4 linked regions of the Caenorhabditis elegans genome follow. The protein of the gene in region 2 purifies or fractionates together with the protein of the main gene of each other region. This does not show direct contact. Each region holds a gene or a part of one and is shown on either strand. Other genes may lie near its edges. The genes, in order: tag-72, metl-1, trm-1 and R04E5.9.

The links.
Region 1: the proteins of metl-1 (region 2) and tag-72 fractionate together in Caenorhabditis elegans (co-fractionation; one large-scale study listed by BioGRID). This does not show direct contact.
Region 3: the proteins of metl-1 (region 2) and trm-1 fractionate together in Caenorhabditis elegans (co-fractionation; one large-scale study listed by BioGRID). This does not show direct contact.
Region 4: the proteins of metl-1 (region 2) and R04E5.9 fractionate together in Caenorhabditis elegans (co-fractionation; one large-scale study listed by BioGRID). This does not show direct contact.

The regions. Positions count from the first base shown.
Region 1 is NC_003279.8:10,157,737-10,164,910, reverse strand, and holds tag-72 (mRNA cap guanine-N(7) methyltransferase), read left to right. Parts: upstream 1-3,027; 5' UTR 3,028-3,034; coding exon 3,035-3,158; intron 3,159-3,263; coding exon 3,264-3,389; intron 3,390-3,436; coding exon 3,437-3,546; intron 3,547-3,613; coding exon 3,614-3,792; intron 3,793-3,875; coding exon 3,876-4,055; intron 4,056-4,388; coding exon 4,389-4,812; 3' UTR 4,813-4,929; downstream 4,930-7,174. Other genes in the region: fkh-10 (Fork-head domain-containing protein), read left to right, coding at 575-703, 914-1,168; C25A1.1 (FAM192A/Fyv6 N-terminal domain-containing protein), read right to left, coding at 1,726-1,933, 1,979-2,234, 2,281-2,379, 2,426-2,522; F16C3.4 (uncharacterized protein), read right to left, coding at 4,952-5,020, 5,067-5,198, 5,248-5,297, 5,531-5,726, 5,776-5,852, 5,899-5,905; F16C3.3 (TPX2 domain-containing protein), read right to left, coding at 6,414-6,490, 6,708-6,794, 6,843-7,041. UniProt on the Caenorhabditis elegans protein: mRNA-capping methyltransferase that methylates the N7 position of the added guanosine to the 5'-cap structure of mRNAs. Binds RNA containing 5'-terminal GpppC.
Region 2 is NC_003280.10:11,468,768-11,475,550, forward strand, and holds metl-1 (tRNA (guanine-N(7)-)-methyltransferase), read right to left. Parts: upstream 4,809-6,783; 5' UTR 4,796-4,808; coding exon 4,704-4,795; intron 4,653-4,703; coding exon 4,590-4,652; intron 4,541-4,589; coding exon 4,146-4,540; intron 3,713-4,145; coding exon 3,492-3,712; 3' UTR 3,368-3,491; downstream 1-3,367. Other genes in the region: cisd-1 (CDGSH iron-sulfur domain-containing protein 2 homologue), read right to left, coding at 1-198, 254-342, 738-825; slc-25A37 (Mitoferrin), read right to left, coding at 1,593-1,673, 2,135-2,251, 2,298-3,002, 3,191-3,244; ngat-1 (Beta-1,4-N-acetylgalactosaminyltransferase), read left to right, coding at 5,329-5,450, 5,508-5,690, 5,749-6,040, 6,090-6,499, 6,771-6,783. UniProt on the Caenorhabditis elegans protein: Catalyzes the formation of N(7)-methylguanine at position 46 (m7G46) in tRNA.
Region 3 is NC_003283.11:14,181,270-14,188,680, forward strand, and holds trm-1 (tRNA (guanine(26)-N(2))-dimethyltransferase), read right to left. Parts: upstream 4,341-7,411; 5' UTR 4,262-4,340; intron 4,219-4,261; 5' UTR 4,201-4,218; coding exon 4,122-4,200; intron 4,070-4,121; coding exon 4,000-4,069; intron 3,953-3,999; coding exon 3,647-3,952; intron 3,599-3,646; coding exon 3,221-3,598; intron 2,755-3,220; coding exon 2,256-2,754; intron 2,206-2,255; coding exon 1,957-2,205; 3' UTR 1,855-1,956; downstream 1-1,854. Other genes in the region: cest-2.3 (Carboxylesterase type B domain-containing protein), read right to left, coding at 468-669, 934-1,219, 1,594-1,661; ZC376.8 (DUF236 domain-containing protein), read left to right, coding at 1-240; ints-2 (INTegrator complex Subunit homolog), read left to right, coding at 4,516-4,560, 4,609-4,689, 4,733-5,105, 5,367-5,533, 5,581-5,685, 5,744-6,399, 6,447-6,543, 6,979-7,172 and 1 more. UniProt on the Caenorhabditis elegans protein: Dimethylates a single guanine residue at position 26 of most tRNAs using S-adenosyl-L-methionine as donor of the methyl groups.
Region 4 is NC_003284.9:8,804,847-8,814,615, forward strand, and holds R04E5.9 (uncharacterized protein), read right to left. Parts: upstream 6,297-9,769; 5' UTR 6,148-6,296; coding exon 6,143-6,147; intron 6,087-6,142; coding exon 5,991-6,086; intron 5,943-5,990; coding exon 5,727-5,942; intron 2,325-5,726; coding exon 2,247-2,324; intron 2,195-2,246; coding exon 2,075-2,194; intron 2,027-2,074; coding exon 2,023-2,026; 3' UTR 1,812-2,022; downstream 1-1,811. Other genes in the region: R04E5.8 (JmjC domain-containing protein), read right to left, coding at 151-299, 346-407, 456-509, 612-1,259; Metal transporter cnnm-2, read left to right, coding at 7,344-7,412, 7,461-7,531, 7,826-7,898, 7,942-8,057, 8,104-8,230, 8,778-8,883, 8,932-9,023, 9,076-9,197 and 2 more.

The sequences.
Region 1 (7,174 bases), on a different chromosome or scaffold from region 2:
TTTGGAAATAGGGAAAAATGTAGTAGCTCAGGAGAAGTTTCATGTTTTTGTAGCTGAATTAATTAGAAGATTCACTAGCCAAGAAAATTGTAGAAATCATAAATTTTATTCCGTGAATATGTGGAATTCCCAAATCAGCTCAAATTAAGTTCTCCTATGACGCCATTAAATAATTTGGAAATTTAGCTACAGTACTCGTACAGTACCCCAACAGTACCACAACAAGAACCTAATTAACCAAAAAGTATATTTATAACTCCAAAGACTACGAATCTATGAAAAAATATATTCATGATGATATTGGTGTGAATATTAAAAATATATGGAAAAGTTCGAATAAATAAATATTTGCAAAAGTTTTATGCAAAAAAGGACAACCAATGTATGGGCGGAGCTTTATTATGATTTTTTCCGCTTGGTAAAACCCTTTTTGATAAAACTTTCGAAATAAAAACAGAAACCGTTCATATCTTGGTTTTTTTGAGTTTTTGCAAATATAGATGCAATTATGATAATTTTTTTTTAATATAAAGAGGATGCTTGTCTTTAGATCGATAGAAATTCTAATTTTCAGGTATACGAGTGGATAATGAATGAATATCCGTACTTCAGAAGTCGTGGAGCTGGCTGGAGGAATTCAATCAGACACAATTTATCATTGAATGATTGTTTTGTAAAAGCCGGTAGAGCTGCAAATGGGAAGGTTTGTTTCAGTATTTTCTATAGGAAGTATACTACTGTTGATGTCGATTTTTGAAGACCAAGTATTTTCACGGCTTTCAGAGGTTAAGTAAAAATAAGGACACTCTGATTACTCATCAGTTATTATGTAGTCATCTAAATATGAGAATTTTCGCGCATGGGTCTCGCCAAGAACCTTTTCATCAGTTGTTTAAAAATTCAAATGTTTCAGGGTCATTACTGGGCAGTCCATCCTGCATGTGTCAAAGATTTCGAACGTGGAGACTTCAGACGTCGTCGTGCACAACGAAAAGTTCGCCGTCATATGGGGCTGCAGGTTGAGGACGGAGATTCATCAGATGAGGAAGGTTCACCAGGTTCTGATCCATCACCTCCCATCTTTCCAACAGCTTTATGGAATTTCAATTGTGCTCCGAGAGCTCCGATCAAATCGTTCACTATTGAAGCAATCCTGGAGCATCACTAGAAAGAATTCCACGTGGATCTCCTAAAACTTGAAGCTCAATTGTTAAATTAATTGTTTCTTCCGTTTCCTGTTACCCTCCAATTAACTATTCTCCCCCTGTCTCTCCAATTCCTACGGGCCCTTCTGTTCTCTTTCTCCCATGCAGCCAATTTCCAAATTTCCTGTTTTCTGAAGTGCAAGCATCTGCACACAGATTTTCCCTGTTCATTATTTCAATAATTTATCCACTAACATAACAACTTGACGGGAATAAACATTGAAAGTTAAAGGTTGTGAGAGGAAATTCAGGGGGTTCAATGCCGTATTTTTTACATTTCTACGCCAATGCGGCGAAGAAATGAGTAGGAAAACGCAGGATTTTCAGGTATTGTACAAAAAGAAGGGAGCGCAAAGCTTAGTGGGATTAGGCGCGGGAGAAAAATAAAAGTAATTAATAAAATTTGAATTTTAAAAAGAAAAATTGAACATGATGAAAGAGGTATTGGATGCATTCAGGAAAAGCGGTGAAGCTGAGGGATTCGGACAGTAAAATATATTCGGATAAAACAAGAATTAAATCATTCGCAGCCTCCTTGTGCCGCCGACTTCGATGTTTGAAGAAGTGACAGAGTTTCAGGCTCATCATCAGATGAGGCATCGCTTTCTGAATCACTCGATGGATCATATTCACACAAAGCCTGCAGTGCTCCAATTTGCTTGATCACAGGTTCAGGTTTTGAAACTTTTGAAGACACAACATCTTCCTGTTTTTTCTCTTCAGTGCTTCTAAAATATCATAATTAAATGAGGAAATTCGCTTTGAATACTTACGTTGACTTTCTCTTGATCGCAGTGCTCAAAAATGCGGCTTGCTTTGATTTCGGGGGTCCGAGAACTTTTGATGTCGACGGTTTAAGAATGAAACGAGACGAGGATGGCTGATTTGCGGCAAGATGTTGAGTGACGGCAAGCTCTTTAATAAGTTCTTGCTCTTCTCTTTTCATCCGCATTTTAACCACACGCTTTGTGGAATCTAGTTCCGACAGAAAAACGCTTTCATCCTCATCGATACCTCGGACCATATTCTCTGGAAAAAACTTCTTTAAAAATAATATTATTTTTATAAAACTCACTGAGCTTCTTAGCTTCGTCGATTTCCAATTGTTTTGCATCTTTATTATTTTTTAATTGCTCGAACAATGTCTTATTGCAGTACTCCGGTTCTGGAACCACTGAAAATCAATTGCGTTGCCTGTACAAAAAATAAAAAAATCTTACAAGTAGCGTCAGTCGGTTTTCTAATCTTTTCCCAAGCTTCTTGACGGGCTTTTTTCTCTTCATCGAGCTCCGAAGTGCTGACGAATCCACTAGACATTATTACAACTGAAAAAATTAACAGATGAAAAGGAAGGAAGAGTTAATAGAGAGGAGAAAGAGAACAAGAATACAACAGAATGTTTAAGAAAGAAAATGACGAATAAAAATATAGACGGGCACGCGGGAGAGCCGACCTAGACATTTGCAGCGTTCTCAATATCGATTGGACCATTACAGCGTTCAGTTGGAGCGATGTATTGCTCTTTGGATGTTAGCGCACATTCAAAAATCGATTGTCTTATAAAACAAAAAAAATTGTGCCAAGATTGACTAATAAATATCAGTTTTACACTGCAAAAAATATATTAAAATTTATAAATAATGGATTAGTCCACGAGGAGTACATACATGAAGGACTAAGTTTGACAGCGCGTTCGGCCACGGCCACTAGCGAAAAATGTTCGAATTCGAATATATTTTTTTGATATTTACTCAGCGCTGTAATTTTAATTTCCTTGTTAAAAAAGCACATAAAGTTATTATTTTCAAATCCAATTTTTCAGCAACAAAATGAGCTCATCAGAAGTGGCCAGTCACTACAACAAAGTTCTACAGGTTGGCATCGAAGGCAGGAAAGAAAGTCGTATTTTCTTTATGAGAAATATGAATAACTGGGTGAAGAGCCAACTTATCAGTAAGATATTAAATTTATAAAATAATTGTAAATATTCTACTGTTTGAAATAAAAAAGTTATTTTGCGAAAATTGAGTTAGAGAAAAAAACTGTTGTTTTTTCCAGATGATGCGAAACAGCGTGTTAACGATAACGGCGTTAATAATCCAAGAGTCTTAGATTTAGCATGTGGAAAAGGAGGAGATCTCAAAAAATGGGACATAGCTGGAGCAAAAGATGTTGTAATGGCAGGTATGAACAGCTGGAATCTTTTAAAAATATATAATGCTACGGTTCAGATGTCGCCGATGTTTCTATCCAACAAGCAGAAGAACGATATAAACAAATGTTCGGATATAAAAAGAACAACATTTTCACTGTTCAATTCATTGTCGCTGATTGCACAAAAGTGAGTTTTCATCCTGAATTTAGCAGTAAAAACTGAGAAATAGCAATAAAAAGCGCAAAAATTTCAGGAGAATCTGGAGGATCGTATTGAAAACAAAGATCCATTTGATTTGGTCAGCTGTCAGTTCGCCTTGCATTACTCGTTTGTAGATGAAGCTTCTGCCAGAATATTTCTAAAAAACGCCGTAGGAATGTTGAAACCCGGAGGAGTTTTTATCGGAACACTTCCAGATGCTGATAGAATTGTGTAAGCAAAATTTATACAAATTTTTCTTAAAAACCATCGTAATTATTTCGAATAGAAACGTTTATTTATCCACTATTTTTCAGTTGGTCGATGCGTAACGGAGAAAATGGTCAATTTGCAAACGAGGTGTGTAAAATCACATATGAAAACGTGGAAGAGTTGGCTGAAGGAAAAGTTCCACTATTCGGAGCCAAGTTCCATTTTTCACTCGATGAGCAAGTCAACTGTCCTGAGTTTCTGGCATATTTTCCACTTGTCAAACAGTAAGTTTTCTTCACTTATAATAATTTTGGCACATTGTCGGAATGTTTTTTGGAATTTTATATAAAAAAATAGAGAAATATCTGTACTTTCTGACGGTAACTTTACTTTTAATTAAAAAATAAAACATTTGCTCAAAAGCTACCACGAACGTCGAAATATGGCGGGTGAAAATGCCGATCGGCTATTTTTCTATATGAATTTCCAAAAAAAGCTTCGACACAACGATGAGATCAGAGAAAATTTTTTAAAAGTACAGAACGTCACAGGCCGCATATCTCAAAATCCTCTGATCAGAAGCTATATTAATGAATTCATATAATTCAAAATTTCAGCCTGCTCGAAGAGCTTGACATGGAGCTTCTTTTCGTGCATAATTTCGCTGAAGCAATCAACAAATGGTTGGAACCAGGACGCCGACTTCTCGAATCAATGACAGGTCTTGAAACGTATCCAAATGAGAAGCTCAGTGGAAAATCCGACGACGAGTACCTGGAGGCAAAAGCTAAACTCGACGCATTTCCAGAAGATGAGAGAATCAAGACGATGGGAACACTTTCAAAATCTGAATGGGAAGCTATCTGTATGTATTTGGTGTTTGGTTTCCGAAAGAAGAAGTCTGAAGCTGAGAAAACAGAAGAAGAACCAGCTACCACGAAGCCAGTTGCTGAATCAGAATCAGAGCAGAAAGAAGTTACTGAAAGCGAAGAGAAAGAAGATCAGGAAGATTGTGAGCATCAAGAAGCTCAGACAAATTAGGAATATTTCAGTTGATCTCAATATTTCAATTTTAATATTATTTTATCATTATGTTCTATCATTCATTTTGCTATTTATTGTTCATCTCAAAAGTTCATTAAAAAAATACATTGTCATATTCAAATTCTAGTTCAAAAGTTCAAGATTTGATATCGTCATCCTCTTCTGTTTGAGTAGTATCGAGCGGAGGAAGGTACTCCTTCTTCTTCTGAAAATGTTAACTTTTAAATATGCAACTATTCTCTCTTTCCTACCTTGGCAACTCTGTTCGAAGTGTCAAACGATTCCTTATCCGATTCATCAGTGCTTGAGGTCTTCGGCGGAGATCTTTCACGAACAACACGCATTTTCTTAGTCTCCGAATTGCATTGCTTCGTAAGGCAAAGCTACAACATGAAATTTAAATTATAATCTCAAAAACAGGGAATAACGAACCGGCGGTGCCAGAACTTTTGGTGGCTGCTTCAGAGATCGAGAACTTCCGCCTAAATGGGAAAAGAAATATATATAGTTTCAAGATTTTTCAGGGTCTCGCCACGAACAAAATTGTTTGAAATCAAGACCGCGCAAAAAGGTTTGCGCCTTTAAAATGTACAGTAACCCACTTCCCAAATGGAAACATCGAAGAAAGTTGGGAAGTGGGTTACTGTACTTTTTAACGGCACACGCCTTGTTCGTAGCGAGAGTTGAAAAATCCGAAACTGTCTAAATTCCTTACGTTTCTTCAAACTTGGATCTTTCTGAACATTTTCATCACTAGCAGTGTTCGTCTTGGTCCGAGTCTCTGGTTCGATTCCTTCATCTTCTCTTGTCGGCTGACAACCGACGACCTTTGGTTTGTTAAACTTTTTCGAGAAGGAGTTCGAGCGTTTCTTGGATTGCTTCTTGGATCTTGATTTTTTATCATATCGCGACTTAAAAACATATGAAATATATAAGCTATTGAAAATATCCTGAACCTACAGTAATTCTACTTTTTCCACACAAGAATAGAAGAGATGAAACGAATAAAGCAATGAAAAAGCTGAAGATGAAATTACCTGGAAACACCATTGTTATTCATAAAGCAATCTTTCCAAAACTTACTGAACATTTTCAATTCTTCAAATGTTTTGTGGAGCATAAATTGTAAAGTTGAGAAATGTTTCGAATTTTGAAAAAAATGTTATCTATGCATTGAATCTGTGATTCACGTTTTTGAAGAGGATAAAAAATAATGTGACAAATTTATTAATTGAATATAATTACTTAAAATCCTAGCGGAAATAGAAACTAAAAATATTATAGTTAGTCACGTTTTCTGAAAACCGTTCCTAAAGGAGCACGGATTTGTTCGGATTGGTTTCGCCACGGGAAAAAGTTTATTGTATCAATTTTGAAATGTTTTGTGTCTTTTATTATGGATTTCCGTGAGCAAATTTCGTGGTTTTTATCGATTTTTCTTGATTTCGTGGAGATTTTCAAAATTTTTAGAATAAAAATACAATTGACATTTCTACCATAAACTTTTTCGTGGCAAGACCCTATGAATCTGTGCGCCTTTAAGTACGCGCCTCAGAAAATTGCGACATGGAGATTATTTTAAAAAGTGGAAAAAAAAACTAAAAAGCATTAGAATTCATACTAATTAATCTTCGTTTTGCAAGTTCTCTCCGATGCCGAATCTCGTTCATCATGCCTGAAATTTAAAGTATGACATTTTTTATTAAAGTCAAATTATTTTGTGAAATATTATGCGATTGCCATGAGACTGGAATACGGTAATCGGTCTCGACACGACCGTTATTTTATGAAATGAGGCTATCTAAAAGAGTATGTGCCTTTACTTCTCGCATTTCTGAGGTCAGTAACATATAAAAATTTCCAATAGTTTTTATAATCAAAGAATTGCTTACTATGATCTAATTGACTCCGAGCCAATCGATTTTTGAAAAGCCTCTCGGCTCGATGAAATATCCAAGGAAAGAAGTCTTTTTCAAGCTCTGAAATTTAAAAAATTAATATTTTCCAATACAGTAATCCCATTGTACCTGCAGTCACTAAAGTCATTTTCTTATTCAATAAAACCATATCTCTTGTGTCTAATCCAATTGATTTTTTCGAGTTTCTCTCAAATATTCTCAAATTTTCCAGAGTATTTTTGGTCACTTCTTCGCAAGTCATTTGAGCCAATTTCTGTGCTTCTCGAGCATTCGCTTCTTGTTCTTTCCATGTTTCTAATTCATTATTCTGAAATTAATTGTTATTTTAACTTTAAAAGTTAAAACTGAACATCGTTCAGTGCGCCCAAAAAAAACCTAGTAAATTAAATTAAAGAAGTTAAAAATCCCAGCCGAATGGTCCAGTGGGTACGAGAGGTCCC
Region 2 (6,783 bases):
GCCAACATTGTCGCCAGTCTCCTTGTTGTGCTTTCCATGTGATCCGTCACAGTATGGCCACTTCTCGCTCTTCCAGCATCTGCAGAATGCCTTCTTCTCTCCAATATCCTCAATATCGACGGTGTCGACGATCTTATTCGAGTCGAGCTGGATCTTGTAGTTGCAGCGAGCCGAACGCTGTCCGAACTTGTAACCAACCTGAAATTAATTAGTGAAATTGAAGAGGCTACATCAGGGGAAGGCTTGAACTTACAAGGTATCCAATAAGAGCTCCTCCCGCGAGAACGGCGGCAGTCGTGGCGACACAGCGACCAGAGACTTGAGTTGGGCAAGGCATGGTACCTGGAAAATTTAATTTAACAAAAAAAATTTAAGGAATAAGATTCAAGCGAAAAAAAATATATACGATTTATCATAAGGTAGATGCAAAATTTGGCGATTTTCGCATAAAAGTACAGTATCGGGTCTCGAAACGACCGCTTTGCTTTATTGGGAAAGAGTATGCGTCTTTAAGGAGTACTGTATCAATTTTCATAACTTTTTCAGAAGTGCTATCTTTTAAAATTTATGAGAGAATTCGCGAGTTGACAACTACAGTACTCTTTAAAGGCGCACACTCTTTCTATTGGAAAACCAGTCGCTTTGAGACCAGATACGTAACCTTTGACCAAAAAATCGGAAAATTGTGAATCTGTGTAATAAGAGGCAGTTCAATCAACAAATTATGCCAAAATTACCAAGCTCTGCAACAGAACAATGCTGTGGCGTTGTCCAACAACAGTGATCTTGAATGAGAGATAAAGCACAAAATCCAGCGATGGTCATTTTTCGAAGAAAATTGTAAAATATGTAGAAATAAATTTAAAAACCTTTTTTCGTAATCTATCGATTGATCTTTTTGATTAAAAAATTTGGACGTGAGAAGAAGAAAAATAACTTTTTTTCAAAGGTCAAATCGAAAAGAAAATCGATTTTTGTGAATTTGATATATTTTACAATTAGAATTTTTCGCTCATTTTCCGCCAAAAATCGAAAAATCTTCAGCCTCGTGGACATTATAAGATCACTAACAATTGTGAAAGAGAAAGAAAGTGACGTTGAAGTCGAGGCGGTCGCCTGAACATCAGCGCCAATCGCAGTAAAAACGAGAAAATGAGAGATAAGAGAGAAATAGACACAAGATACAAATTTCCGTGTGAAACTACGGAGCACAAAGAACATATAAATTCAGTGGAAACACTAATTTTTTATGTATTTATTTGAATTTTTGTCTCGAATAATAAAGGGATGAGAGAGGGAGGGATGGGATACAATTATTATGAACACTTTTCCACTAGAAATGCTCGCATAGGTTGATAGTCAAAGAAATCATTTGGATTCGATAAAACTTTCAGAACACAACAAAAAGAATCTAGAAGGCATCTGCACGGGTTTGACACGTGTTTTGTAAAAAAAAGAAACATAGAAAACTGAGAGTAATATGAAAAAAAAACAACAAAAAGAAATGAGAACTATTGAACCTAACCTATATGAGGAGAAACCTTGGAAAAGAGGAAAAATTGGGGGAAAAATTGGAGAAAAGATCAAAATTATCAACTCGAATGACCTCCTTCGAAAGACAACATGAATTTGAAAAGCTCGTAAACGGACCAGGAGAGAGCAGTTGCAGGAACCTGGAATAAAAATTATTAAACTGAGGTTTTTCTATTGCCCGGATACTGTACCAGGTCTCGAAGCGGCCGATTTTCTTAAATTTAACAGAGTGTGCGCCTTTAAGGATTACTAAAGTTGTTCTTCGATTTTTTGTTATTGTGATTTTCTGATATTTCGAAATTTTTCTTGATTATTGGAATAATATCATAAAAATTTGGCAACTAAATTTTTGTGTTTTTTTTTTCTGAACATTTTTTTTTCCAGAAAATCTAAATTTTATGTTTTCCGATTTTTACAAAAAAATAAAAAATCGGAAATTCTAGATTTTCTCTGGAAAAATCTAAATTTTTTTCGCTGTAACCGTTAGTTGGGAATTACAGTAATTCTTAAAGGTGCAGACCCTTTGCATTCAAAACAATCGATCGCTTCGAGACCGGTTACCGTATTTTTTGGCACGAAAATCAAAAATCTTAGACATTACCTGGAATATGACCCTAGCTTGTAATCCACACGAGAATCCGGATAGTCCACGTTGAGAATAAATTGTCCGTACGGCGTCAGAAATTCCACGATAACGATACCTAGCCTGTAATTCATTCTTTTCAATTATAGCAAAAAAATGCGAAGAATTCAAAAAAACTCACCTGCAAGAAAATTCGCCTATTTGCTGGATCAGCTTCTGCAGCTTGTTGCGTATTCAAAACGGTTTTCACACAATCCATTGGAGTCGTTAAAGCAGCTGCCAATCCGCCGGCAAGTCCTCCCGCAATTAAATGTGATTTCGGATCGTATTTATGCTCCGGATTCAGGACGTGCTGCCAGAATTCGTAACTCATAAAGTGAATTGCTTGGAATGGAACATTCATTGCCAGCTGTGTCGTGTATGATCTATAGAAAGCCGCCACACCTTCCCGATTATAAACACATCGAGCACATTCCAACGATGATCCGTATGGAGAGAAAGCCATTTGCATTCTTTGCTTCACTACTTCTGCTGGATTCATGATAGCGTCATGGATAAGTGTTGCAACAACTCCAGAAGCTCCATATGCTAACGTATTGCTGTGTCCCGCGGAGTTTCCCGTCAAATATCCCTTCATTTTCTCGTAAACTGTGAAGTATAGAGCGTGAGCTGGCATTGAGCCTGCAGCAACTGCATTAACTCCACGTAGCGGTCGAAGCCATCCTTCTCGTTTAACAATGCTCATCAGTGAATGTACAGGAGTTGGACATTTCGTTTCAGGGCACGGACAAAGTGATTGCATTCTCGTTTTGACCGAATCGAATGGAAACATGACACAATGCTCAACGGCTCCGGCCAGGGCTCCAGCTGTCAAGTGCACCTGAATCTTAGATTGTGATAGAATGGGAAACACTAATTGAAAATTAATTTAATAAAAAAATTTTAATTAATAAAAATGCGCCGAATTCGTAATGGAACTTCTCAAAAAAAAACACGTATTTTTTGAAGAAAACGGTTAATTTTTGCCGAAATCTTCAATTTTGTCAATCTCTTTTAATTAATTAAAATTCTTACCGGGACGCTGTGTGTTGGAAGTGATTCGTACTCATCTTCGCCACCGCCACCCATTTTGCCCAGTACTGAGTATCTGCTGAAAATGCGATTTAAAAATTTAATAATTGATTAAATTTAATAGATATATAAGTAGAGTTTGAAAACTCGATGGAAATAAGTTCAAAAAATCAGACTATTAGAAGAATTGGATTTCATTTAACAGACAAAAACACAAAATCAACAAAATAGTTAAATAACAACCTCGGAGGAGGAGGGAGAGTCTCGTGAAAAATTGATGAATGTTGGAAGTAGGCAGAGGGGATTATAAGGCCGGGTTCGGAAGTCGCCTGAAGATTGCTGGCCACTTTCCTCCGTCATTTCGAGTCACTTTTTGTCCTTCTTCAGTACTTTCAAAGAGCATTTCCACAATCGGATCTTTTTTCATTTCTTCTTCAGTCAGCCGTTCGAAAAGTGGATGCTCGCTGAGATGCTTGACCATCCATTCGTGTAGATCCTTGACATCAGTGATTGTGTAGATAATACCTGAAAAAATAAAAGTTATAACAAAGATCAATAGGCACAGCGGGAAAATGCACTTGTAGGTGCGCAGAGCTACAGAGAAAGGAACAGGTTTCTACTTAGCTATAGTTCTCACGTGGCACACATGGAACGGATTGTTAATTTTATTGGGCAGGGAATTGAAGATAGAAGCCTACGTGCAAATTTGAAACAATTAAAGCTTCAGAGATTGGAAAGTTTTCTGAGATCTATCGAAAGTCAAGAAAAATGTTCGGTGATGAAATGTCTCGCAGCAGCATACGGCCACGCGGTTAGATGATAAATATTGTTTGATGGCGAGAATTAGGGACACAAAGACACATTTTCAACCGTTGATACGCTATTCTTATCATTGAAACTATTCCTATTCCATTATCTGCACTTGTGATCACTGGTACGATCAAGGTCACTCTCATACCTCCTTCACGAAGCACATAAGCGTATTCGGAGAGCAGTGTTGGAGTGATGATCCGCCATTTGTGCTTCTTATTCTTGAAATGTGGATCTGGGAAAAGGAAGAACATCTTGGAAAGTTGTCCTTTGTGGAAATAATTTGGCATGTATTTCATGGCATTTGATCGGAGAACGGCTACATTTCTGTAGTGACCAGCTTCAGCGTGATGCTTTCGAAGTGCTTGGATTTTTTCGTTTACGTAATCCGACACTTTCACACGAATTTCCATACCGATCATCAGATTATCAGGATATTTAGGTGACAATCTCATCAAAAGACCTCCATAACCACATCCGATGTCTGCAAAATCCACTTGACGTCCTTTTGTGTAATCGCCGTAATATTTGGTCCAATCCATACTAAAAATTGTCAAAATTTAACAAAAGGTAACACTTTAATTTTACTCACTGGTTTGGAGTCAGTGGATATTCAATGTCATGATCAGAATGAGGATTCGAGTGAGCTCGCTGCCTGAAATCCTTTTTTATTAAATATTAAACTTTAGTTTTCTCAGAAACTAACCGATAATGCTTCTTTTGAGGCAACCCTGGAACTGTCTCGCAAGTAGGTTTGTGATCCAATTCCATTTCTGTCAGCGCAGGAGTTATGTCCATGTTTTTGCTGAAAATCACGAGTAAATTATGTAAATATTTACGTAAATTATACATTGAGGTAGTTGAAAAATGCGCAATTTAATTTTAAAAAGTTAAATTTTAATAATTTAAAAGTTATATTTACTGAAAGTTAACTTTAAAGTTATAAAAGGAAAAAAATTAAAATAAAAAAATGAGAAGATCGTGAAGTGCGCCAAGCGTAACTCGATTTGCGCCAGCAATCAATTTTCGTGCGCAACTTTCGTGTTGGGGAGTTCTCGGCGTCTCCTAGGTTTCGCATTGTCTCTCGCCTTCTTCACAACAATTCCCGTTGCTTCACTTACAACAAAAAAGACCGGACAACCACTGCAGTTGTTCTGAATATACTTCTCACAGCCACGCATTCGTTCTTTTTCTCTTATTCTGTCACATAACTTTCCCCTCAACACCTATTTACTCTATTTACAGCCGGATTTCTTTTCTGATCCCCTCAAAAAGTAATTTCCAATTTTCAGAATTCAAATGCATTGATTTATCGGTAAAAGCTACTTAAAATGAGGACCTCACACTGCATAATACGTAGTTTTTCTCCGAAACGACTTATCATTTTCGTTGCCGCCTCCACACTAATCTATGTAATGCTACTCAGAAATTCTACATTAAATGATGAAAGAAGGTTTGTTTTTGATATATTTTTATAAATGTGAGATACTAAATATTAAATAGTCTCCAGGATAGCAGCGACTGAAGAGCAAGTTCGATCTGTCAATGTCAATGTACAGCAATCAAAAAACAGCGGAGTCGCTGAAAGAACACACGATATAAAGGATCCTGTTGAATTGGAAATTGCTCGACAGACGCTAACATTTTTAAATATGGAAGAAGCCGTCACAAAACCAAAGCCACCGGTTAAAATGTAAGTTTTTTCAGTGATTATTGTGAATCTAAACTAAACGTTTTTTTTATTTTTTCAGCGCCGAAGAGGACGGATCTTGTCCAATAGTTGAGAAAATACCAGATCTTCAAGGCGCTCTTCCACAAGCCACACTTTTGATTCAAAATCTTCAAGAAGGAGAAGTACACGCAATTCATCCAGAACTTGGCCCAGGTGGCTCATGGAAACCGGATGATTGTCAGGCTCGCGATAAAATCGCAGTGATAATTCCATATCGAGAAAGGCAAACTCACTTGACTCGATTGATCGACTTTTTGATTCCAATACTTCAACGACAGCGGCTAGATTTTCGATTCATTGTTACTGAACAAGTAAGAATTTTTTTAAAGCAATGCTTAAATAAAAATATTAAATTTTCAGTATGGAAACGACTTGTTCAACAAAGGCCGAATTATGAATGCTGCATTTATCTTCGCAGAAAGCCTTGGAGTCGATTGTGTAGTCTTCCACGACGTCGACATGTTCCCACAAGACGATCGGAACCCGTATTCGTGCCCACCTGGTCCACGTCATCTTGGAGCTTTTGTCAGTAATCTGGGATATCAATTGTGGTACAAGGAGATTGTCGGAGGCGTTTTAGCAGTATCAATGGCAGATTATCGTGCAGTTAATGGATATTCAAATCAATTCTGGGCGTGGGGAGGTGAAGACGATGATATGGGACAGAGAATACTTTCATTAAATTACACAATTGAACGACCAAATCCTGAAACAGGGAGATATTCTATGTTGAAGCATGTGAAGAGGAAACGGACTGCGCCGAAGTTGATGTAGGTTTTTATCAGGCATTTTCTAGTGTCAAAATATAAAAAATCACTTGATTTAAATTTATCTTAAAACTATTAATTTCAGCTAAAACATTGGAGAAAGTACTAAAAAATTGTTTTGTAATTTTTGAGGTTTTTATCCATTGTTTCAGCTGGAATAAATGTTATTTTCTGATAAATCAAGTGATTTCTATATTTTGACACTAATTTAGGTCATTTCATAGAATTTTTTAAATAAAGTAGGTATGAATCCGAAAAAATTTCAAACTTTCAGCTACAAGCTTCTC
Region 3 (7,411 bases), on a different chromosome or scaffold from region 2:
TACGAAACATTGAATGGATTGGGTGAAGAAATGTTCAAGGACGAGAAGAAAGATGATGAAGGAAAGAAGAAGGAGTTCAAGCAACCGGATAAAGTGCAAAAGGCTGATGCAAAGGATCCACAATATGAGACTTTGAATGAAGTTGATAAGGGAATCTTTAATAATGAGGAGAAGAAGAGCGAGAAGAAAGATGCTGAAAAGAAGGATGACAAAGAGGAAAAGAAATCCGAAATTAAATAGCTCTTGTAACTCGAATAAACCATTTCATGAAATAATTTCGGCGCGCAAGAACTGTTACTCTTTGAGGAGGGCGCATTTGGAATGGTCTCGCCACGCGCCAGCCATTGATTTTTGAAGCGCGTGACGAGACCAATAAGTGGCAAGTGGCAGGACTATTTCGAAAAAATGCGCTCTCCTTTGAAGTCATATAAGTGTACAAAAATACACTGTACTTGAACTACACGTACCATACATTGCCACATTCGTATCCCCGGTTTCTCCATTAAATACTCCAAATCCAAAAACTCCGAGGCGGTAATTGAATGTCACAACTACAATATTTCTGTCCTGACCCACAAAATTGTTTATAAAAATTTCAGGTTTAAATGCGGAACCCGATTCGCAAACAAGTCGTCCACCATGTACCACAATCATTACGGAGCAGTTTTTCTGGAATATTGAAAAAAAAATTGAGAGAGAAGTTTTGCGTTTGTCCACTAAAATAGACGGTACCGTTCTCACGGTGCATCAAATGTTTTCTAATCGTAACCGCTGAAAATATATATGCGCCTTGAGAAGTACAGTAACCCCTTTTTCCTCGTTATTACTAGAACCGTATAGTGGTTACTGTACTATTAAAGGGACACACGCCTTCTGGCGTAGTTCGTGGCGAGAGCATCATGTGAAAAATTGCAAAGACTGTATAATACTGACATTTTGCAAGCAATACTGGTTTGTGAACACATTTGCGTATAGACAATCCTCTGAAATTTCTCCAACAAATCCATTTTTGAAAGTTTTCCTCCAATAACTCATACACGCAGGCTTATAATCCTTTGTCTCTAGAACTCCTTCCCATGATTTCAGAAGACGTGGTTTCCGGAATCGAAGTTCTCCAATTGGAGGTTCAACGTATGGTATGCCCAAAAATACGGTAGCAGTTTGATTTCCAAACGGCGAATAAGTAGCATTCAAGATTTTCCCTTCGATTGTTCCAGTTCTGAACAAAACAAATCAAGAGTTTTAGTCACACTGTTGCAATATATTTCGATTCTCAATGCGAAAGTACGGTATCCGGTCTTGCAGCGACGAATGAAACATTTCCAACTAAACAAACACCAAGACTTGCGCCTTTAAAAGGTACAATATTTTCAATTTGCAGTTTTCTTCGTTATTTCTTTTATTCTCATACTTTTTTCAGCGTTCCAGTTCTGCCTTCAAATAGATAAACGGAAAAAGGAGAATACCATGCAAATACCGTACTCTCTAAAGGCGCACACCAGTTTGTACAGACTTTCTTCAAAAATATATCATTCGTGGCGAGACCCGGCCCTGTATTTTTGCTTTAAAATCGGAAAAACTGAACAAACTCACGATAACTGAATTCTTGTAGAAATAGATAAATGTATCAGAACTGCGAAGTATAAATATTGTAAAATCATTCTCTGATGATCGATTAAACAGAGCCAACCGCTCTCATTTCTGGGAAATATGTTATGAAAACGATAAGAGATGGCACAGTGATAAGATAAATCAATTCTCTTTGGCTGATGAATTACTAATGTGGGAATCCCTTTGGAATCTAATGTTAATCGATTTTTCCTCAATCTGAAAATAAGTAGAAGTGCGCTAAATAAGAAGAGGATATATTTATCCAAACTGCAACAACAAAAAACACAACAATATAACTTGAAAAATAAAATACGCTCATAAAAAAACAATTTTAAAAATTAAAAATTATTCCTTGTGCTCGGTCAATTGAAATCCTGCCTTCGTCGAGTTCACTGATCCTTTTGCTTTCTGGCGAGGGCCCCAATTCTTCCCTTTATTGCATTGGAACCGTACAAGGTTCTCTTTCTTGGCCTGTTCGATGGCTCCTGGGTGAAGAGTGAAGTTGACTGTGTTGGTGATGGGTTGTCCGAGAATGTGATATCCTGCTGATTCTTTGGCCAGACGCTTCTCGCGATCCACACTTGTGTCTTTAGCCTGGAAAAAACATTTATTTGTGAATCGTATACTGTTTTTATGAGACTTACAACTTGTCTATAAATATCCCATAGCAAGTGCATCGGAGCATTTGTTTTGATTGCACGGGGATTACAGTGAGATCCAGAAACTTTGAAACCGGCATTTAAAATCGCAGATCTCACACTTTGAGATTTTGGAACGGAAACTTTCACAACATTCGCCATTTGGTTGTGCTCATAATATAAAACATCATCCAGTTCTTCATTGACCATCGTAAGAACACCTTGAAGACGTCCGTGAGTTCCAAGTCTTTCAGCTTCAGGAGTAGATTTCAGACGTTCCAGAAGGGAAGTGACGAACGGTTTGCTGTGAATTGGAGCAAGATAAATTGGACCAATTTGGTGGAGTGGAAGTAAGCAATGGATGCATCGATTGCCTGGACCAGAGATTGAATGACGGACTGTTGGAATTGAATATTTGCTTTGTTGATTTCCTTCTCCTCGTTTAAGCAGTACTAATGGCTCCATTGAATGACATCCAGAGCATACAAGCACAGTTCCGACTTTCCTAAAAATATAATTTAATGTTAACTAATTAAAGGAGAACTAATGGATTTACGGTCTTGATTTTGAACCAATGTCGGTTCAAAAATTCGGGAAAATGAGCTGGTTTTAATTAAAACCTGTAGTTTTGCCAACTTTTCCTTTCGCAGTGGTTGTCAATTAACCTTTACTTGATTATTATCATCTATTGCATAATTTCATCGTTAATCTCGTTACTCTATAAATTTATGCACTTTTTAAGTCGATAGGTATCAAATAATGATATTGGTTACCTATCGGCTTTAAATATCCATTAATTAATAAAATAATGTGAGATATAGTAAAAGTTAATTTCCAACAGCTTTGAAACAGAAAAATTGACAAAATTGGAGATTTTAGCTAAAAATAGTTGTTTTTTTCACAATTTTGAAAATTTTCTTCATTAAATTTAAATCTAGCTATTTTGAAACTTAAATTTTCTGTCAACTCACGTTCCACTCTGCTTCGCTTGAAAAGCTCCTGTGTGTACCCTGACAAAAACTCGAACGTAAAAATCAACGGAAATCGACACCAATGGCTCAATATATCTTGTATAACGATTGGCTGCAGAATCAATTGCTCGAAGTAAAATCCGAAGTCCAACTTCATGACAACACTTCATTCTAGTGGTAACTGCATCGTATTTGTTGTAGCATGCTTCTGGAGTGTTTCCGCATAAAACAGCCATGTCAGTGCACGTAACCATCAGAATTCCACGATCAGCGACACATTGGACTGCCGAGTCTAGAAATGTGGAAGCAGTTCCATATGGATCCAGGTCAACAGCATGGAATCGTTTATCAATACCGCGATGTTCCATCATTGTCATACTGAAATTAATTTTAGATTAAAGTTCGAATCAAGAAAAACTAATTTACACTGCATCTCCGAAATGTGCTTCAACTATATCCTCGACTCCATTCAATTTCACATTTTCTTGAATTGAAGCAACTGCGTTATCGGAGAAATCATTTGCCATAATGAATCCCACATTGGGAACTTCTTTCGAAAAACGCAATGCTCGCAGTCCCGAAGCAGAAAGCGCATCGAGAATTCGGATTTTGCCATCTTCATTGATAGCCAATTTATTTTTCTTTTTCGGAGGTTCTTCTTCTGTTTTCAATTGCTTCTGTTCCTCTGCCCATTTTTGATGATCAGCAGAAAATTGACGAAGAACTGTTACTCTGAAAGATAATTTCCTTAAAATACTGAGATTCAGACACAAACTCACGTCAAATCGCGATTAAACTCCTGAACTGGATTATAGAAAACTGGTCCATGGAAACCTACTTTTGCCTGTCCTAAAATAAAATGTTTAATTTGTTTTTAATTCTATTTGAACTCAAAACAAACCTTCCTGAATAACTGTCACTTCTTCTTTATCTTCGCTTTTTATTGCCGAATCTCCAGATGAATTGACATTCTCGGTCATTTTATACCGCGAAATTTGCTAAAAACTGAGATTTTTTTAAGATTAAATGTGCAGTGCTTGCCTTTCTACTTTTTATTTGCAAAATTCGGGAAAAAATACTGCGCGAAGGAAGAATAAAAAACGTTTTTGTCCTTGATTAAATTAAAGCGAATACGAATTAGAGAACTCCGAGAGGACAACACGAGAAAAGTTGTGATTGGAGCGCACTTGCGTTTCTTCCCTTTTCGCAAAAAACATTTTTCTGCACACATTTTTAGACGTTTCTTTCGTCAGAAAACCATTTTAATTGAGGCGGAATACACAAATTTCAGTGTCATGGAGGTAGAAAAAGCAGAAAAATGCTTGACTCCTCGAATAAATGTAAGCTACTCCTGAAATTCGCTGAAATTAAAATTATTTAACTTTCAGAATTTTTGGGAAAGAAAGAAAAATTACTTCGAGATTGCTGCTGTTCAATCAAGTGTTGGGAAAGTTAATCCTGATTTGCCGGTAGGAGAATATTACAATACATTCATAATTTTATATTTTTCAGGATGCACTCCTGGCTCCGTTGATCACAGTTTTGGATCCATGTACTATTCATTCCTCAATTCACGCAAAAGTCGATTGGAATCTAGTAGCATCACGACTAAAACGACTCAATATTTTGAGTAGGCAAACTCGCGGAGTTGCATCTCTAAATAGGCCATCGGGATCGCAAAACTTAGATGGGGCATCAGATATTGAAGGATCATCGGATGGAGGTTCATCTCCAGCGTTTCATCAAAGAAAACGAGGAAATAGCCGAGGAATAGAAGGAGCCGGAGAACCAATGGAAGTAGAAATGACTGAAGAAATGATGTTGAAAAAAGATAAAGACACATTTATCGATGAAATCGTGGATTTAGTTAGGGATATTCAAAAACGTATGTAACTACGTAGGATTCGAATTTCACAAATTAGATATATCTGCTGCATAGGTGGAAATGAACTGAATTGCATATAAAGAATACAATAAGCCTGAAAAAACTCGTGGCACTGAATGTTCCAATTGGGAAATTTGTTTCCGGCAATTCGGCAAAATTAAATACCTAGCTGTAATAGGTAATCTTGAAGAATTGCCGCTCACCCATAGTTCCAAGGAAAATGCGAAATGATTATTTGAATGAAATCCAAATAACTTCCAGACAACGACGCATCAATGTCTTCACAACCAACATGGATCGATCGATTATCAGTGGAAAAGATATCAAATCAAATATTGATGCTTCAGAATTATCTTCCATCGCTACTCACAGTCGAAGAAATTATAAATGCACTTCTCTTTGAACACGGACCAGATGTCATTGAAAATGTTGGTTCATTTTCTCGCGTTGTCATGAAAAATTCAAAATATTTCAGCTTATAATCGAAACGCCTGAAAATTTGGTCACAATTGTCAATATTCTGACTAACAATCCAACACCAGGAAATCGTACAAGATATAGAAATTTGGTTATAGGAAAAGTAAGCTTTCACATTAAATTAAAAAAACTATTTCAAGTTTTAAAGTAGATATTTTCAGATCGTCGAACTATATCCATACTTTGCACGCCGAATAATCGAAAAATATTCCGAAAAACGATCGGATTGTGTTTTTGCATGCAGATTAGCTGTTGATCATTTGAATGATAGACAGTTTTTAGAATTCATGGAACCACTTTTGACAGATAAAGAAACCATAATATACAAAATGGTAATTCGAAGTTCCAATCGACAAGTTCTTCCACTAATAATTGCACGTCTTCTCAATATGGCAGATACTGTTATTTCGCCACGTCCCGAATCCACATCATTTTCTGAAATGGGAACTGCTCCATGGTGCACTCGTCTTTCATATTGTCTCGTGGAACTTATGAACTCTGCATTGGAACCTTGGACTGAACTAGAAATTATTACTGTCACTAGATTTTTGTTTAGAACTGATGCAAATCCATCATCCTCAATATTACACTCTGCTGATTCAATATCTGGTATGGATGAAGCCATGGATTTGAGTTTTCGTGAAGAAGCTCACTGTTCACAAGATTCTGTTGTTCCTGATTCGGATCCTGAATCAACACAATCGGCTCAAAGACCAATACCGGTTTCCCAAAGGACTGCTGTAGAGCCCAGTCCATTCGGAGATGCTCATGAATGTTTTGTACTGTCTGCGCTGCTCGCCGTCCCGTTTTTCACACAGTAATCTAGAAAAGATGTTAGTTTTTAATTAATTAAAATTTATCCAGATATCCGCCTAATCAAACGGGAGCAGTTCAACCACCAGATCGAGCTGTTGAAAATTGGCTTGATGTGTCAAGAAGGAGAGTTCTGGCAGGGGAAAAGGTATCGTTCGGCTACAGCTCTACAAGATCTTGCTCTAAATATTCAATTATGGAGGAGATTATGTCGAATTAAAAAAAATTAGAAAAAGAGTCGAAAAACGAATATTTATATACATAAAAATCGGAAAAAATGTTTAAAAAGTTAACATAGAAAAAACATTTTCAAAAACCTATTATTTTAATATGAAAAGACATATTTTAACGCTATTTTCAGATTAATCGAAATTTTTTAGAGGTGCAGTAGGGTCAAAACAAATATTTTGCTCTAAATTATAGAAAATTAAACATTCTAAATTATTTTAACAATTATATTAGGTAATTAACCTGTTCCCTGTCTTTTAAATCATATGATTTTTCAAAATTACCTTTTATGAAAAATCAGAAGACACCCTTTTAAAAAACTTAATTATAAATAAAAATTTTCCGATTTTTTCAGGTCACATCAGCATTTGGATCGCATCTGATATATGTTCACTCGTGTATAATGTCTTCTCGAATCGAAGAGCTTTCGGAGTTTGCAAGTTATGGAATGAAACAAAAAGTTGAGCTTGTTAATCGTCAGAATCACGTTCTTGTACTGAAAAACACTTTCACATCACGTTGCATGACAGAAATGGAGGTTGCTAAGCGGTAAAACCTAGAGTTTGGAATTTACAGCACAATTTCAACTTTCAGAAGTATTTGCCAACTTGTCACAAAATGCTCTAATGGCGAGAGCTCGTACGCTCTTCGAACAATTCATGCACTTCAAGCTGCGGGGGTTTATAAGACATTCCAGATAAATATTAGGTCATGGTTGGAAGAACAATTGGATAATATAACACTGCCTGCTTCGCAACTTTTAGCAGAAGTTGTTGATGGATTTGCAC
Region 4 (9,769 bases), on a different chromosome or scaffold from region 2:
TAAAGATAGAAGTTTTGATACATAGAAGATGAGTCTTTTTTTAAATAAAACTATTCTGGGTATCATACTTAACAAAATAAACAATTTTGCTGCTCAATTAGTCAGAGAAAATTGCAGCCTAGTCAAAGGAACATCAAGTTATTAACTCACGCTTTGTGCCGTTTGCATCTTCTCCATTCATGTAGAAACGGTATCCGGATAGCAGATGAGACCGAACTTCAAAATCATCAAATCGGAAGGTTTTTGCTGCATTTGCAACTACTCGCAAAACTTGCTTGTAATCTTCTCGTTCGAGATGCCTGCAAAATCCATATATCCTTTCTACTCCTTCATTGTAAAACCTACAGCTTTTTCAGCTCTGTGCTTGCAAGACGCTCGGCATATTTTCCGTACTCGCGACTTCCCCACTGAAAAATTGTAAGTTTGTAACTAGAATTCATAACCGTTTAACTTACGTCGTCGTTATTTCTTCCAGGTCCCTGACTTATGGAGCGGCGACCGTAAGGAGCCTGAAAAAATATTTTGTTAAACCAGTAAACTGGAAAAATTGTTTATATAATGTTCTCAAATTTCAGTTACGAAAACTCAATGATATCAAAAAGAGAACCTACCGGACGATGAACCATTGGACGACGTGCTCTCAATGCTCTCCGATCGTGACTGTTTAGACGTGGTGGTGGTGGTGGAATAGGCGACGGAGGAGTCCTCGGCGGATTCCGTGGCTCCGGAGACGGAGGAGTTCTCGGTGGTCTGCGTTGCGGTGATGGTGGAGTCATCGGTGGTCTCCGTGGTGGAGGGCTTCTTGGCGGGGGTGTCCGCGGAACTCTTGGTGGCGGTGGGGGTGGCGGCGACGATCCCCCAGCTCTTGATTTCCTGGGTGGTGGAGGAGGCGGTGGACTTGCTTCATGATCACCGTGTTGTGGTGCCGGCACTTGGTGGCCTTCCTGACCAGGAACAGGGTATCCAGGATATGCATAGGGGTGTGGATGCTGAAGATGATGTGGATGTGCAGGCGGCGGCTGGTGAGGATGTTGATATGGATATGGAGGCGGATAACCCCCGTACGTGTGAGCAATGGAAGCCGCATGAGCCATGTAGTTGTGATTATAATGCATGGCCTGGAAGTTTGATGGCGGTACCAAGTTAGCTATGTTTTCGGGGTAGGGATGATGATGATTCTCTGGATAATGATATTGATTGTTTCTTGGCGGGTTGAAATATCCACCGGACGATGAGCCCGGTCTGTCGTGTCCGTGCATTTTCACCTGAAATGAACTTTATTTATGATATGTACATATTTTAAAGCATTCAGAGAGTTTGAGAAAATTAAAAAAGGAGTATAAATGGTACACTCGAAAATTGAGCAAGAAATACATTCAGTATTTGGAACAATGAAGTATACACGTAGGTATCAGTAAGAGATGAGAAGAGTTGACGGGAGAGAAAGACAAATTTTGCTGTCGATAAAAAAGGCGGAGCAAAGCAATGCGTTGCCATGAGATACCCACTGTGAGCGCACGCATCGTGGCCATTGATCCGTGAAAAGGGAGAAGAACGAGAGTTCTGACCGAGTCACGCCGCGTGCAGCGACGACGAGCCCTTCTCATCTCTCTATTCATCTTACACACGGATCACGTTGGCCCCGCCGCACTCACCAGCTCACCAAAACCGGCAGTCTGAAAAGGAGCGAACAGAGAGGGGAGGCGCAGACAGGAAAATAAAAGAGTGTGCGTGTGAGCGGCGATCGAGTAGAGAAAATGAGTAGAAGAAAAACAAGATGGGCGCGAGTCGGTCGCATTAGAGGAGGGGGGGGGGGGGGCGACGGCGGCAACATCGACGGCACAGGGCCTCGTGTTGGCGCAGCACGGCGTCGAAGACGTGGTGTGCATTCAAGGAAATGAGCGTGGGCACAGGGTATATATGCTGTTTTTGTTTGTGTGTGTGTGTGTGTGTGTGTGCAATGAAAAAGACTATGCGTAGAGGGCGGACCAGTCGTGTTTCACGCCTCACATCATCTCGAAGTTACCTGAAAATCGAGGGAACATTCTAAAAATAGAAGGCTTAAGAAGCAAACCAAACACTGCGTCGTTCGTTTGGAAGGATTTTGTTTTTGGTGAACGACTTTCTTGCGGTATCAGTTGGAGCAAGAACTTTTTCCTGAGCGAAAAGGATTTGATCAAGAATGTTCGACGGCCTGAAAGGGGATTATTGTTATAATTTAGCATGATAAAAATTTGGCATCTCACGTAGGCTTTGCAGGCGCAGGAGGTGGAGTGGGAACTTTATCTGCACTTGGGACCTCATCGACCACAATGACATCATCGCTGAAATAATTAAATGTTATGACATGTTTGGGGTAAGCATGATTTTGGCTTTTAGAATAAAGATTCACAAAAAAATCGGTGCTTCCCTCGACAATTATTTTTCTGTAGCAAGTATTGTAATTGTGCTTTAATGATTAAAATTGTGTAGATAAGAGAAGACTGACGATACATAGCTCTCAAAAACGGTAAGACGTAAAAGCCGAAAATTCGTGAATTTCTTTTTCCATCAAAGAAAGGAACCCGGCCTTCATTCCGAGATGACAAACTTTTTGGTGGCAAAGGTTCTTTGGGGGCAAAGTATCCAAGGAGACAAAGGATCCAGTAGACAAACTGGGGTGTATCTTGGGGGGCATATCTTTGGTGACAACCTTTTTTTCAACTAGATTTTTATATGTATTTTTCAACTAATTTTTGTTCAAATTTTTCTGGAATAAGTTTTTTAATGCAATTTTCAATCGATTATCGGTTATAATTCCCTCACAATTGAATGTTTGAACGATGGTCTTTTGGGAAAAGCTGTAAAACGTCCAACTAACTTGGAATATCGTGAGGCTCTTCCTGATGGTCTGATCCTTCAGCTCCGAAGGATCACATGGGTACCTTCTGATGTTCTGATCCTTCAGATAAGAAGGATCGTAAGGGTACCTCCTGATGGTCAATTTTTTCAAATTTTTTTTCAAATTTTGTCAAAAATCCATATGATCCGTCGAAGCTGAAGGATCAGAACATCAGGCAGAGCCTCATGTTCTTTTGGAGCTGAAGGATCAGAACATCAGGAAGAGCCTCATGATCCTTTGGATCTGAAGGATCAGACCATCAGGAGGTACCCTTACGATCCTTCTTATCTGAAGGATCAGATCATCAGAAGGTACCCATGTGATCCTTCGGATCGGAAGGATCAGAACATCAGGAAGAGCCTCGTGATCCTTTGGAGCTGAAGTATCAGACCATCAGGAGGTACCCTTACGATCCTTCTTATCTGAAGGATCAGGCCATCAGGAAGAGCCTCACGATATTCCAAGTTAGTTGGACGTTTTACAGCTTTTCCCAAAAGACCATCGTTCATACATTCAATTGTGAGGGAATTATAACCGATAATCGATTGAAAATTGCATTAAAAAACTTATTCCAGAAAAATTTGAACAAAAATTAGTTGAAAAATACATATAAAAATCTAGTTGAAAAAAAGGTTGTCACCAAAGATATGCCCCCCAAGACACACCCCAGTTTGTCTACTGGATCCTTTGTCTCCTTGGATACTTTGCCCCCAAAGAACCTTTGCCACCAAAAAGTTTGTCATCTCGGAATGAAGGCCAAGGAACCCCGTATTCCCTGTTTTCTGATGCACTTTGTGAATACGATCTGATCATAACATTTTTTTGAAAAAAGTTGTTTAGTTAATTGAATTGGAACTTTATCAATCAGATTGAGCTTGACATTCAGACCAGGGAAGGACAGCTAATGTTTTGGCTTATTCCAAACATTGCATTTATCAGCAAGGTTTTCTGTTATTCTAATAAATTCTATATGAGAATTAAAGAAGAATTCTTGTGCAACATTCATCAAGTAACAACTTTTAAAAATTTACGTTTTTTTTTTCAAAATTCAGGATCTGATATTCAGACCTCGAATTTTCCTAAACCCGGAAGTGATGTAATATATAATTTCAGAGCGCTTGCCACGTCACATTGAATTATAGGCTCACGAAAAGAAAAACGTCACGAAATATCGGTGTTTGAGATTGATGGATACCATTCATCATTTGCGTGCTCCCAATTTTCTGTGCGCTAAAGCTCACGTCATTTCATTTCAGGCGATTGCCTACGAATGTTAAATAAATGGTTGTGTTCCAACTCTACTATCTTCATGAATTTGTAATGAGACAGGGACTGGAGTTGTGCTGCGAAAAACAATCGCCCGCTATAAACTGAAACTGCGTATAGGTGTAAACAATTTTTTATCATCGTTTGGCTATTAACAGTCCGCAAATATTAACAATTAATTTAAATAAGCTCAAAAAGAGAGAGAATAAAAGAGAGAGAAAATTTCTGGGTTTTTTCTCAACAAGCTCAAAGTAATACTACAAACTAAAATATTGAAACAGATATCTTGAACCGTTATTCCTTCTTTGAGCTTTTTTTTCTCAATAAACCTCAAAGAAGTTTTCTATTCGTCAGTTAAATATATTTTTCCAGGCCACCTTTTAATGTTGAAAAGGATGTATCTGCAGAAAACCTATAAGTTCGAGAGTTATGAAAAATGCAACATTGTTCACAGAAAGTCATCATACTCCGAATCACAGAAATAGAAAAATTAGTAGGCGATCAGAATATGTGAACGCTAAGCTATGATTTTATTAGTCATATTCAAAATTAAAAAATACTGCGTAATTTTAAGCTATATTTAAACTCTTGTGGCGCTTCTTCTGACAGCAGAATTTTAAATGCTTACAGATTAACATGATTATGTAGACATAAAAATTTCTGTAGTAATTTTATTTTCTGTATTTTGAGTGATTGTAAAAATTTGAAAACAAAAAATACATGTGACAGCAATCGAAAATAGATTCGTGCTGCTTTCCTTTTTCTCGTGAAATCAGCCGTCACGATGTAGTAATTTTTGAGTGAAACTTCGATGAAGAATATAATTGAAGTCAATTGCAGAATATATGTATGTTTCGTAGGATTTCAGTTTTCTTTTTGACAAAAAGTTAAATTGTGCAGGAAGTTGTATCTTTGCTGCATTGCTAAGCTAAACGTTTTTCTTTTGAATTGGAATTAACTTTCGATAAACAGTACGAGCCCCTCCACATATAATTTTTCGGAAAACTGTTTTCTTCGATACATTTCCAGTAGTTATGGAAAGGTTTCTGCTTCTCGTTTACCAGAAGATAAAATTAACTTCTGTTAAACAAGCATAGTTTTTTAGAAGCAGGACATTGGGTGATAGTAGAATGACGACCGATTCAGAAGTCGAAGTGTCGGTAAATTCAAGTTTCAACTAGATTGCGTCACTGTTCAAATAGTGCAATGCCTTGCACGGTATGAGCATCGCCAGAAAAATGCGACTGACTACCAGAACCACAGTGCAGCAAGCTTGAACATAATGTCTTTATGTATTAGCCCTCAACAATTTTTCGAGTAGGAAATGACCGAACTACAAGCGTGTTACTGCCCTTCGAAAAGCTGATATCTGATCACCGTACCCTAACGTTGGACGACACTGCTCATATGCGATTGGAAGAAAACCAGTGAAAAATTGATTCCGATATGATTTCGGGAGCATGCGACGCATTTGGCTTTGGAGTTCAATAATTCAAGTTTTTAATGTCACATTTCTATTATCTCTAGCATTACTGATTTTTTTTTTGAGAAACTACTTTATAAATTCTCAAAAACTTACTTTTGGCGAATATGAAGCTTTTGTTCCTTTTCTCGCCCGTATCGCTTGACTCTTCCAATACTTTCCCCTTTGTCTAACGATTTTGATGTGGTTTTCCGTCGTCGTTTAGTTCCTTTCCTTCGCTTTGTTGCTCCTGTCTTTGACTTTCGAGTCTTCCTTTTCGTTTTCCTGCCTTGTTTTCTCACGATCTTTGATTTTCTCTGCCGAGCAGCAATTCTGAATAAAAAAAAGTAAAAAAAGAGCTAACTTTCCTGGTGTTCTTACTTTGGAAGTTCTGGCAGATCTCCATCTGGTTCATCGTCGCCCAGCACATGCGCATCTTCCTCCTCGAAAATCGGTTCTTCTTTTTTGATGAACTCTCTGAAAGAAATAAGAAATGTTAATTTGAAAATTTAAACATTAGAGGAAAAACCTACTTCATACTCTCGGCGTCTCCACTACTCGAGCCAAAAATCGATGCAGGGTACGCACATACACACACGCACCGCAGGAACACAGAAAATAGTTGGAAGCGACCGCGTTGCGTCCCTCTCCCTGCGCGTCGCGTGTTCAGACACAACGAAGACACACTCTCTTTTTCACACACTCTCTCGCCAATGCCCTATAAACCCTCGCTTTCTGCCACACACTCACATTTACAAAAAAACAGAGAGGACGACGGGACGCGCGCGCACGTGAGATAAGGCGGACAGAAAAAGGAAAAATTGAGAATGGCGAGCTGGCGATGAAAGCAAGATGTTGACGTGAGGGTTGATGAATTTTTGATACGAAAACAATAATGATCGGGATGAAGTAGGGGACTGGCATTTTTTGTCCCGAGAAGATGTATTCTGGGCACTTTTCATTAAATTTTTCTTCCTTAAACGAACATGACAAACGAATATTGATGAGAAAACTTCTAGAGCATTATTTAAATTACTTTTTCAGCGTAAAAGAAAAAAATTGCAATTCCCGCGTTCATAGGACAACAAACCTTCAGCGTAGACACGTCTACTGCCCAAAAATGTCATCAAGAAAATAAGGGATATCAAAAATGATGATAGAACTGGAAGATCGAAATAGTCTAAAAAATGAAAGTTATTCGCTGTTCGTCATGCCAAATGAACATGAAATGTTGTGACAAAATTACAAAAAAATATAAGGCTGTATTTTTTTTAATATCCCGAAATTTTATTTCAGTGGAAGTTATTGGATTTGCTTTGAATAAGTAGTCACATCATTAATGAACGTTCAACTAAAATAAAAAAACACCAATACTCATAGATTATGCTTTAAAAAAAAGGAGAAACCAAAAAGTTACTTTCCTATCCCAAAACAAAAGATATCTCCTATGAACCGGCAAAAAGCATTACTGGAGAAAAAACGAATCATATTTTAAACAAAAATTTCTGACTGGATGCAAAATTGATAAAACACTTCGAAACCTGTCTTTAGCCTGTCACATGCAAATTTTGATTCTAGACACCCATAAACTGAAAGAGCCCCAAAACAAGCATTCATGTCACATAGACATGAACCACCTAGATTGTTATCAGTGCCCCCTACTGATACGCACTTTCTTCATTTTCACCACTCGTTTATTCATTATCGCCACCACACTATACCACGTCTAATTTGATGATCATTAAAGTTTTTCTACGTTTACTTTTGCTCTGTGCACACATTGTATGCATAGACGGAAAACTGGTGAGAAATTTCGTAAAGGAAAACAAAAAAACATTGATGGAAATTCAGGAAATACGGCCAGTGGTATCAGGAGTTCGGATTGAAAGCGATGTAGACGCGTCAGGATTTTTAGGATATGGGTAAGAAATGAGGAACCTTCTAATACACAGTACAACTTGCACTAAAGTAATTACAAGTATTTCATACGGAATGCCATCTTTTTTATTGATTGAAAGGACTACATTGTTCAATTAAATTCAATTGCATGTTTTGACATAAACGTGAAGCTTGTATATTGTCATAATGGCATTTCATCTGGGTGTTTACATTACTTTAGAATAAAGCTTCATTAGAGAAAATTAGATAATGCACTAAATACAATGGGATAAAAAATACCAGACGAGGGTGTACGACAAAATGTAACAAAATTTCAGCGATGCTGGAGAGTTATTGGTGGAGGCAAACACTGAAGTGGATCTTGTGATTTTTGGTCATGGACTAGAAAATGTATTTATCAGCCTATACCAACTTTTCCACATTCTGATTTCAGGTTGAAATGGTGACATTTACTGATTCTGTCTGCGTGACATCCGAGTTTAATGTATCAGAAAGCACCTTCTACATTCATAAAGATATGAAAATAGTCTTTAAATATGCTTTCGTAGCGTAAGGCAATTATTTTGAACTCGTTAATGCTAGTTGTAAATTACAGGTGGCCCCAGCCATGGAGAATTTGTCTAAAATCAGAGTGTCATGGACTAATACAAATCGATGACGATAGAACCTGGATTCAAGCTGTCCAGAGTACTCATGAAACTTTCATGCCTGTTTGGGCTCAGGTAAACAACCATGAGATGGTTATTAGCATTTTTCCTTAAAATGCCAAATTTCAATTATAGATCAGTGTTGCAAATGTTTTAACGTCTACAATGTTGGTATATAAATATATTGAACACAATTTAAATAAAAAACAAAGCAAATTATTTTTTTCCCGACGACTGGTACTTGTGTATTATACCCCCGCCATTAAAAAAATAATTTTTTAACTTATAAATTAAAAACCTGTGAAATTCTTTTGTATTTTTATGCTTAGGAAAACACCATTCCTAAGGTTTACGAAGAAAATGGGCATCACGTTTAATTTTTACGGATAAATTAATTGGAAATTTGATTAATTTTTAAAATGGCGGGGGTATAATACACAAGTACCCGACGACTTCTAAAAAATTGATAAAAACAGAGCTTTCAGTGCTTTTTGATTAGAAATCACTTTTACCAATATTTTTGAAAATGTTTTGGCCACCCCATAAGCCGTAGTCCACCTTCAAATGCTTTCGAATTAAAAAATTGTAAAACTCTTACCTTCGTTAAACTAAAATATTTCAGTGCGCAATTTTATGCCTACTGTTCTCCATATCAGCACTGTGTTCCGGATTGACATTGGGACTAATGGCTTTGACACCGCAAGAACTTAGTATCTTGATGAAATCAGGTACTGTTTTATTATTTATCAAAGACCAAATTTTATGTGAATTTGCAGGATCACAAAGAGAGAAAAAGCATGCGGCAGCAATTTACCCAATTAGATGTCATGGTAATCGGTTACTGTGCACTGTTATTATTATGAATGTTGTGAGTTTTGTTAGATTTAACGTCAACTTATTTTTTTTATTCAAAATTTAAGATTGTCAACACTGGAATTACACTTCTTTTCGATGATTTGGCAGAAGGTCTGATAGCTTTTGTAGCTTCCACAGTTGGCATTGTTGTTTTTGGAGAAATTCTACCGCAGAGCATATGTGTGAAGTTAGATTAATCCAACATCTTTTTAAACATGATTCCACTGATTTTAATAGTATAATTTATAAAAAAACATTTAAAGTTGTTCAATGTACCGGGAAAAGGTTTTCAAACTTATCCCTATATCGATTTTAATCAACTTACCTGCGGGAAACTAATTTTCATTCTATTCTGCAGATTTTGGTCGCCTCGCAAAGATTTGTTAAGTTTTGTACATTCCCAGCAGATAGAAAATTACTAGTTTTCCTAATTCAGTTACCTACCAATTTGAAAATTGTGCTAAAAAAATCTCAAATCTAAAATCCAAGAACCCTTACTGTCCCGTTTGATGGAAAATTTGCAAAATTTTAGGTATGGATTGGCAGTGGGTGCTAACACAATTTTCATCACCAAGTTCTTCATGTTTCTCTTATTCCCAATAACGTGGCCACTTGGAAAAGTAAAAATTCCAGAAACAAGAAACCAGAAACAATAAACCAAGTTTTTCGCAGATTCTCGACAAATATGCTGGTGTTGACATTGATGTAGTGAATAGATCGAGGATGGTAGAAATGCTCAAAATGAACATGGAAAATGAT